Linked DNA regions of Sus scrofa. The protein of the gene in region 1 interacts with the protein of each later gene in a pairwise test. Links are inferred from orthologs where the notes say so. Each region holds a gene or a part of one and is shown on either strand. Other genes may lie near its edges.

Evidence for each region.
Region 2: the proteins of CSDE1 (region 1) and HID1 interact in binary tests that used the Homo sapiens proteins (3 or more experiments, as listed by UniProt). The two-hybrid records come from large-scale screens. The link is inferred for Sus scrofa from reciprocal best matches to the Homo sapiens genes CSDE1 and HID1.

Annotation. Positions count from the first base shown.
Region 1 is NC_010446.5:105,802,732-105,807,331, reverse strand, and holds the start of CSDE1 (cold shock domain-containing protein E1), read right to left. Parts: upstream 2,821-4,600; 5' UTR 2,668-2,820; intron 2,226-2,667; exon of another isoform or gene 1,340-2,225; intron 1-1,339. UniProt on the Homo sapiens protein: RNA-binding protein involved in translationally coupled mRNA turnover.
Region 2 is NC_010454.4:6,297,435-6,301,241, reverse strand, and holds part of HID1 (protein HID1), read right to left. Parts: intron 3,731-3,807; coding exon 3,581-3,730; intron 3,044-3,580; coding exon 2,873-3,043; intron 2,477-2,872; coding exon 2,363-2,476; intron 1,804-2,362; coding exon 1,697-1,803; intron 1,465-1,696; coding exon 1,348-1,464; intron 1-1,347. UniProt on the Homo sapiens protein: May play an important role in the development of cancers in a broad range of tissues.

The DNA.
Region 1 (4,600 bases):
CTGACTGGTTATATACTGACTGTAACTGAAAACCAATGGAACTAGCAGGTTCAATGTGAATAAACTGCTGAAAAATTTATTTTCAACTATAATGTTTTACCTCAGCATAAAAGAACATATTAGAATGCTCACAAAATAATCATTCAATACACTATACTTAAAATACCCCAAACAGAAAATGTCACACAATGGAAATATCTAACAATTCCTCAGGCTTGGTAGTATGAACTGAAAAAGTTTTCATTTTTCTTTTTAACTAGATGTTCACACATGCAAGTGGAAAACATTTTAATACCGAGACAAAGGAATTTTAAGAAATCCTGATTTGGCACAAGAATTTAAAAGCAATAAATGATGGGAATCAAAACAAGCCACTCCCACCACAGCAGTTTCATCACTGAAGACATTCTAGCTATTTGGTCTTAAAAAACAGTTATAGTTCTTCTAGTTTAATCATTATGAAAAATCGTACAAATTTTACAGCTCTCTATAAGACAGTCTGGGTCAAAGATATCAAAGCAGTTTCCTCTTCGTTTTCTGAAAAGTCTAAACTAAGAAAATCAATGCCCTGTGTTTATTTAAAAAGATCTCAAGATTTTCATTTTGTAGTACAGTCCTCATATTCAACGCCTTAAAAATCTATCCACATTGCATTTCCATGTTTAAACTTCCTTGTCAAAGGTATAGTTCTCACAATAATGTGAATGAATTTAATGCTACTGAACCATACACTTTTTTTAAAGTGGTTAAAATGCTATATATATGTATATCTTACCACAACTAAAAAAAAAATTCTTTAAATGTTGTACAGCCCTGCAATGTCTGTCTTTAGATGAAAGGAGGGGAAAACAGGAATGGGATAAAGCAGGACTACATGTTAGCTTTCACATTCTCATTTTTGATTTGCTAGGAATTTACCAGAATTTAACTATACTCTGAAGATCATACTTATTAAGTCAGAACTTATTTACAAAAAAAGAAAACCTATCTTCTGTGCCTCAAATACTTTACTTTTCAACTCAGCTGCTATAAATACTCATCTCAAGAGTAAACATCCAGAGCAGCTGCAAAATCACTCAAACCACTACCATCTTTTATTTCGGGCCTATGGCTAAAAGGAAAAAAGAAGAAACATGGCTGAAAATTTATCAAGATTTTATGACTCCACCCCTTTACCTACACCAACAATAAATACACAATATTGATTAGTACTAAAAGGACACCAAATTATTTTATTTCCCCTCAATATAGTATTGAAAATGCTTCAAACTAAAAATGAAAATTACTCAGCGTTTTGATATGGAATAACTTATATTAGTGGCTATAATTTGGTACTTACATTTTATTGATTTGAAGCTCTGGCCAAGAGCTAGCTGCCAGTTCGAACCATTCTGGTAAAAAGCTAAGTCCTTCAGATTTAAATATTTAACTATCACAGTGCCTTTGGGCGTTCTCCATCCCTCTCCACGCTGTCCCTCAACTGTTTAAAAAGAGGACCACATTATTCTGCTCTTTTAGGTGCAAAACAAGGAAATCAATCGCACAATGTTCAGATTTTTTATTTGCAGTCTGAGATCTGTTTTAGAGAGCATACCCTGCCTCACTTGAGAGTCAAGCAAGAGAGGAGCCATCTGAATGTTTCTAAAGGAAAACCTTAAAGCAAAAACACCCGTGGCACTAAGATTTCGGACTGATGAAACATCGGGGGTTAAAAACCTCCAAAGTGTCTCTGACCAGGGCTCTAGAAAAAACTAACTCTACTTAGAATGATGAAGCCAAGCCGATCTTTGCACAATGTGGGCCAGGCTCCTGCACCATAAGAACAAGAGAAGGTGGTAAGAACTCCATTGACCTCTCACAGAGTTCGCCCCAACCCCAAGGACAGGGGGTGAGAGCCATGTGCCTAAGGGGTTGGTTCCTTTTCTTAAGAACCTAAGGGAGGCTTAGGTGGGTGTTGAGACCCAAGACAGACAGCTCTAGGTGAATGGAAAGAAGGACGACAATTTGGCCGCGCTACAGTGCCAGATGTGGCCGAGGAAAGGGGGTGTCTCTAAGCACTTAGGTGGAGTGAGGTCTCAGTCCGTACACAAAGGAGGCGCCACTACCGCAATGCGCTCTGGTACTCGTAGTCAGATGCCCAAGCCAGAAGGTGGCAAGAAACTATGGGGTCCAGAGTCAGAGCAGGCCCCTCTCCTCAGCCTCCGGCTCTTCCAGCATCACACAAAGGACCGCGCCACCACCCCCTCACCCCGCCCGCCGGGACTTGTAGTTCCCGTTCCCCTATCAAACCACAGAGAAGGACTAAGCCAGACTACAACTCCCAGCAGCCTCCGCGCCCGAGCCCCGCACCCCTGCCTCCATCTTGGCTGCGGTCGGAGCCTCCATTTTCGCTCCCTCCCCCCACTTTAGTCACCACCACTGCTACCACACGCGGCCGTCGGGCCTCGATTCTTCTCTTCGACTCTGCAACTTAACGTGAGGCCTAGACAGCCGAACTAGGAGGGAATGGAAAAGCCTGAGGTAGGGACTCAGGCTGAGTTCTTTCCTACCCGGAGCTCTAGGAGTGCCCAATCTAACTCTGAAGTCTCTCCCGTTCGTCTCGGTCTTCACATCTGCCTTTAGCCCGGGTCCTTGCTGCCCCCAATTAGACCCTGAGGTCGTACTTACCCCAACAGCTCAGCGCCCCCTCTCCAGCGCCGCCATAAGCAGCACGGCCCGGTACGTAGGAATAAATCTCGCTTCTCTCGCGAGAGTTGCGGGCTCCGAGCGCGTGCACAGGAAGGGGGGGTGGAGCGTATCCCTAACACGCCTGCGCACGAAGGAAGAGTGACGCCAGCTTGTACCCTGCATTTAACCACAACCAAGATGGTGTCTACGTTCCCTAAGATTCTCTACCCCGTGAGCTGCGGGAAACAACCTCAGTGTTTGCTGACTCCGCTGGGACGCAAGGGGCGGGGCGGCGGGTGACTTTTGGCCTCTCTTAGATTTGCACACCTGAGTATGCTTCAGGCAGAGAGACCTGGGTAAAACAGCCGCGAGGGCGAATAGCTTGGAGGGCATATCAGGAATGTCATATAAAAGATTTCTCTTTTCCGAGAGATAATCCCGAAGCTCCTAAACTCCAGTTTCTTTTTATGTACAGTGTAAGCTTTCTCTCATCTGCTGCTTTAGACTGGAGTTTTCATTAGTATAGAGTTGGTTTTTAGCAAAGTGATTTGGATGCCTTAAGTGAAAAATTTGTCTCCCACAAACTGTATTGTGTGCAACAGACGGACAAGAGGGAGCAGGGTAGCATAATCATTAAAAAACTCCTTCGGAGATCCCGTCGTGGTGCAGTGGTTAACGAATCCGACTAGGAACCATGAGGTTGTGGGTTCGATCCCTGCCCTTGCTCAGTGGGTTAACGATCTGGTGTTGCCGTGAGCTGCGGTGTAGGTTGCAGACGCAGCTCGGATCCCGCGTTGCTGTGGCTCTGGTATAGGCTGGCAGCTACAGCTCCGATTGGACCCCTAGCCTGGGAACCTCCATATGCCGCGGGAGCGGCCCAAGAAATGGCAAAAAGACAAAAAAGACAAAAAACAAACAAACAAACAAAAAAAACCCCAAAACTCCTTCAACTGACCTTTCAAGTTACCAGAAGATGTTATTAGTGTGTCAGGTAATCAAAGAGACTGAATCAGTAACCAAAAGGTTGAAATCAGGGCAAATGGATGATTCATCCAAGGGAGAAAGAGGAAAGGAAGAAAATGGTTAATTCTGTCCACAGAAAAGTTCAATGAATTATCCCTTGACAAGCTTTAGAGCAGTTCCCTCTGGTGAGAGGAATGCTTTTCACGTATTCTGTGGCTCTCTTACTTGACAGTGTTGGATCAAAAATGACCAGTTACTCTTCTGAGAACTCTCCCACCCATTTTATTTTCTCTTTGAACATATATTTGTCTGGCATCTCCTAAGTGACATCGCTGGAATGCATACAGTAGTAACAACAAACGGATATGGTTCTGTCCTCAAAGAATTTGTAGTCTAGCACCATTCAATAATAAAACAAAATCTAAACATACGCATTGAAATAAGTGCAGGGAAGGACAGCGTATAACCTCCAATTCTGAGCAAATCATCTTGAATTATAAGAGGAAGCAATATCCTACTTCTGATGTTCAAAGATTTTTCTCTTTGCCTCTGTTGTTATTGGTCTAATCTCATTAAAGAGCAGCCTCTTTATTGCCTTCCCACGCTTTCCCAGGAACACATATTTGCTTCACTTTCAGTGCTTTCACAGCTCATTCTACTATAATTATTTATACTAGCTAGTGATACTTTAGAACAGGACTTGTGACATTCATCGTTGCATCACTGGTTCCTGACAACACCTGGCATAGACAGCTCTCAAAAGCTTGTTGAATGAATAGGACTGGACAACAGTGTAAGTTGTTTTTAGAAAGTGGAATGTTCAGTTGGGAAGTACAGAATATAAATATATCAAGCTAGCTCTTCTTTTTTTTTCCTTCTGATCTCTCTGCAGCAATAGATCTAGTTTGGATATTCTAACCTAGTGTTACAGAGAAACTGTCCTGGGCTCTTGCACTAGAAACAAAGTCAT
Region 2 (3,807 bases), on another chromosome or scaffold:
TTCTTGCCACTTCTGGGCGCTGGGAGGGGGAAGGCTGGCCAGGAGGCCAGCAAAACCTGAAGGCTGAGGTGGGCCGCGTGGGAATCGGAGTCTGGAAGTAAGAAGGCAGACCAGATCCTCAGGGGCACTAACCCCTGTGCCGCCAGCCCGGCCCTGGGCACAGCTGGAGCAGGTGTACCTGCTCCAAATACTCAATCACACTATGTGACTCCCCCATGTACTTAGATGCCCCCCAGAGCCCAGGGGCACCCCCATGTGGGCCGGGTTCCCCCAGCCTTCAGGATACTCATTACACCCCCTGGACCCACTGTTAAAACTGTACTGCTGGGAGTTCCCGTCATGGCACAGTGGAAACAAATCCAACTAGGAACCAGGAGGTTGCAGGTTCGATCCCTGGCCTCGCTCAGTGGGTTAAGGATCCGGCATTGTCGTAAGCTGTGGTGTAGGTTGCAGACGCGGCTCGGATCTGGCGTTGTTGTAGCTGTGGTGTCGGCCAGCAGCTACAGCTCTGATTGGACCCCTAGCCTGGGAACCTCCATATGCCATGGGTGTGTCCCTAAAAAGACAAATAAATAAATAAACAAACAAACTGCTCAGTACAAGCCACGTGTAGCTATGAAGAGCTTAAAATGTGAGATGTGTTGTCAACGTAAACTGCACAGCAGATTTTGAGAGCTTAGTATGAAGAGGGAATGTAAAACACTTCAATAATTTTGTATATTGATTACATGTTAAATGCTAATATTTCTGATACACCGGGTTAAATGAAACACATTATTTAAACTAATTTCACTTGTTTCTTTTTTACTGTTTTTTTTTAATCTTTTAAAAAACCCATGGCATACGGAGGTTCCCAGGCTAGGGGTCGAATCGCAGCTGGATCCGCCGGCCGACACCACAGCCACGGCAACGCCAGATCCAAGCCGCGTCTGCGACCTACACCCCAGCTTACAGTAACGCCGGATCCTTAACCCACTGAGAGAGACCAGGGATTGAACCTGTAACCTCATGGTTCCCAGTTAGATTCGTTTCCGCTGTGCCACAACTGGAACGCCTCGTTTTTACTTTTTTAATGTCGCTACTAGAAATGTTTAAATTGCATATGTGGTTTGCATTATACTTCTACTGGACAGCCTGGCTCTAGACGGAGGTCGCAGGCAGTCACCCAGGGCTCCCCAATGGGACATTGGACAGCGCTGGCATAGGTGCGGCTGCTGTTATAGGTCACTACCACCAGAGGGCAGCATTTCCCACCAAATAAGACACCCGGCTCGTAAACGGCCTGGGCTCCGAGCTGCCTGGAACCAGGACGGGGAGAATGGAAAGAACAGCCAGGGGGCCCCTCACCTGTTCTCCGTGGAACAAAAAAACTGCACCCATGGGTTGGTGTTGCCACAGTCTGCAGCTGGGGGCAGGTACATGGCCTCAGAGAAGCAGGTCAGCAGCAGTTTCAGCAGCTCCATCCTTGGGGTGGGGGGGAAGGGGCGCTCAGTGCCTGAGGATCTCAGTCCTCCCGGAGGAGGGCATGTCCTCCCCGCCCAGCCCCAGCTCCAGTCCGTAAAGTGACTCCATTTTATCCCTGCGGGGCTGACGCTGGGTCACGGGTGGGCAGGGTCTCCGCTCCCTGAGCTGGGGTGGGAGGCAGGAGGCCTGGGGTCCAGCGACATCACGAGCTCCGGGCCTGAGAACTGCTCACCGGTTCATGTCGTGGATGTAGCTGGGCTGCGGGGAGTGAGCAAAGCCCACGCCAGCCTCCCAGATGTATTCACAGCTGTCCAGGGAGTGGATGTCCTCCGCCGAGTCCTGGGGACGGGGTCAGGGAGAGGTCAGGCTGAGGGGGGACCACCCAAGCCCGCCACTATCCTTGGGAGCACAAATCCCCCTATTCTCGAGACAGACCCTCCGAGTGCCGCGGGTGCTCATGCACAGGGAAGAAATGAATGTTCTCAGCCTCTTGAAGGCTCACTTTGCTTCAGTTTGGTTGGGGAGGGCGGTAGGGAGGCAGCACAGTGGAATCAGGTGCCCCTGGTGGTGGGTGGCAGTGGGGGGCAGAGAATACTCCAGGTCCAGTCCACGCACCCGCAGGAAATGAAAGGCCCAGGCCTCCTGTGTCCAAGCCCCACACCCCCACCCACCGCCCAGGCGAAGACAATGGGTGGTTTTGCCCAGCCTCCCGGATGCAGGGGGCAGGGCCCGCCACACAGCTGGCTCCCTTCCAGCTATGCCAGCCACCACCCCCTCCCTGGGACCATGCGTGCCAGGCAGCCCAGCCCTCCCGGAACAGCCCCTCCCCAAGGGACCTTCAACCGGCCCCAGGGGACCAGAGCCCGCCTCAGCTGGGGGGGGGCTGGGGGCCTCTCACCACAGTGCTTCTCCGGTGGCTCTGGACGGTGAAATCTGGGCAGAAGAGCAGGTCGGCGATGGCCAGGAGCAGGGACTCGGCCAGAGGCCGGGCGTTCTCGTCATCATCCTCGCCCTGCTTGGGACATGGCACCCATAGGCCCCCTCAGTCACAGCTGGCCAAGGAGAGGTGGCCCCAGGACTCGAAGGCGGGAAGGAGACAGGGTCTTGGTCCAGGCAGGCCCCCATGGGCAGAGGGATGGAGGAAGAGGTGGGAGAAGGGCAGGAAGTAGATGCTCATTCACCCCAAACCTCCTCAGGCAGAAGAGCGACAGCACACGGGGCTCTGCTGAGTGCGAGGGGCCAGGCGAGTCCCCGAAACTCTGGAGCCTCAGCCCTGCTGGGAATCACTGCCCACCCCCTCACACTGTCCCCGAAGAAGGGGATTGGAGGAATGGCTGGCCCTGAGGGGGTTCTTCCCCTGACACCACAACTCCAGCTCCCATCCAGCCCCCCAACCAGGCACACAGACCCCTCCTCGGCCTGCCCCGGGCACTGTGGACCAGAAGAAGCCCCTCCAGTCGGGGTCCTCAAAGATGCAGGGCAGCACGCGGGTGAGAAGCCGGCTGCAGTTCAAGACAATCTGCTTCTCCTTCTCCGAATGACAGCCGCTCTCTGCTCCCTGCACCAGCTTCTCCACAGCCTGTGGGGACAGGCAGAGAGGCTGGCAGGGTGGGGAGTGGGGATCTGGTGCTTGGGGTCAGGCTGGGCACTCCGGCCTTCAGAGGGGGAGAGGCAGCCGGGCCACCCTGCAGGGCTGCCTCTCCAGACAGGGTCAGCCAGCCCAGGGGGACCGGCCATGGGCTGGGGGCAGGGGTCGGGGTGGGGTGGCACCTAGAGCATCATGGGAATGAGACCCAGCCCACCCCGCACAGCGGAGACCTTGCTGAGTAACTGCCCATCTGGGCCTCACTTTCCGCACCTGTGATATGGCAACACAGACAGTACCAACCCCGGAGCATGAGTTAAATGAGCCATGGAACGTGCCACCCTCACACAGCCCTCACAGGGAGCGCTGCCATCATGTGCCCCCAGAGCCCAGCCAGGGGGAGAAGCAGGGGAAGTCTTAGGACTACCCCAAGCTGGGTGGGGCACATCCCGGGTGCCCGAGCCCAGGGCTGGGCCAGCTCTGGCCTCTCTGGGAGGGTGGGTGTGGCAGCGAGCGGCGGGCACCCCTCACCTTGTAGCACAGAGTGGCCAGGTTGGAGGGTGACTCCTCTCGCACTGCCCGGATCTCCGCTGCCGGCACGAGCGCAAAAACATCCTGCACTGAGGTGGCCGTGTCCGCCCAGAACTGGTCCCAAAAGGCGTCATCAGTGGCTTCCACGGGCTGCGGGGGGACCCAGTGTCCAGAGTCACAGAATCGATTGCTGGCAGGCTCACAGTTTGCCCAACCTGGAGCCAAGG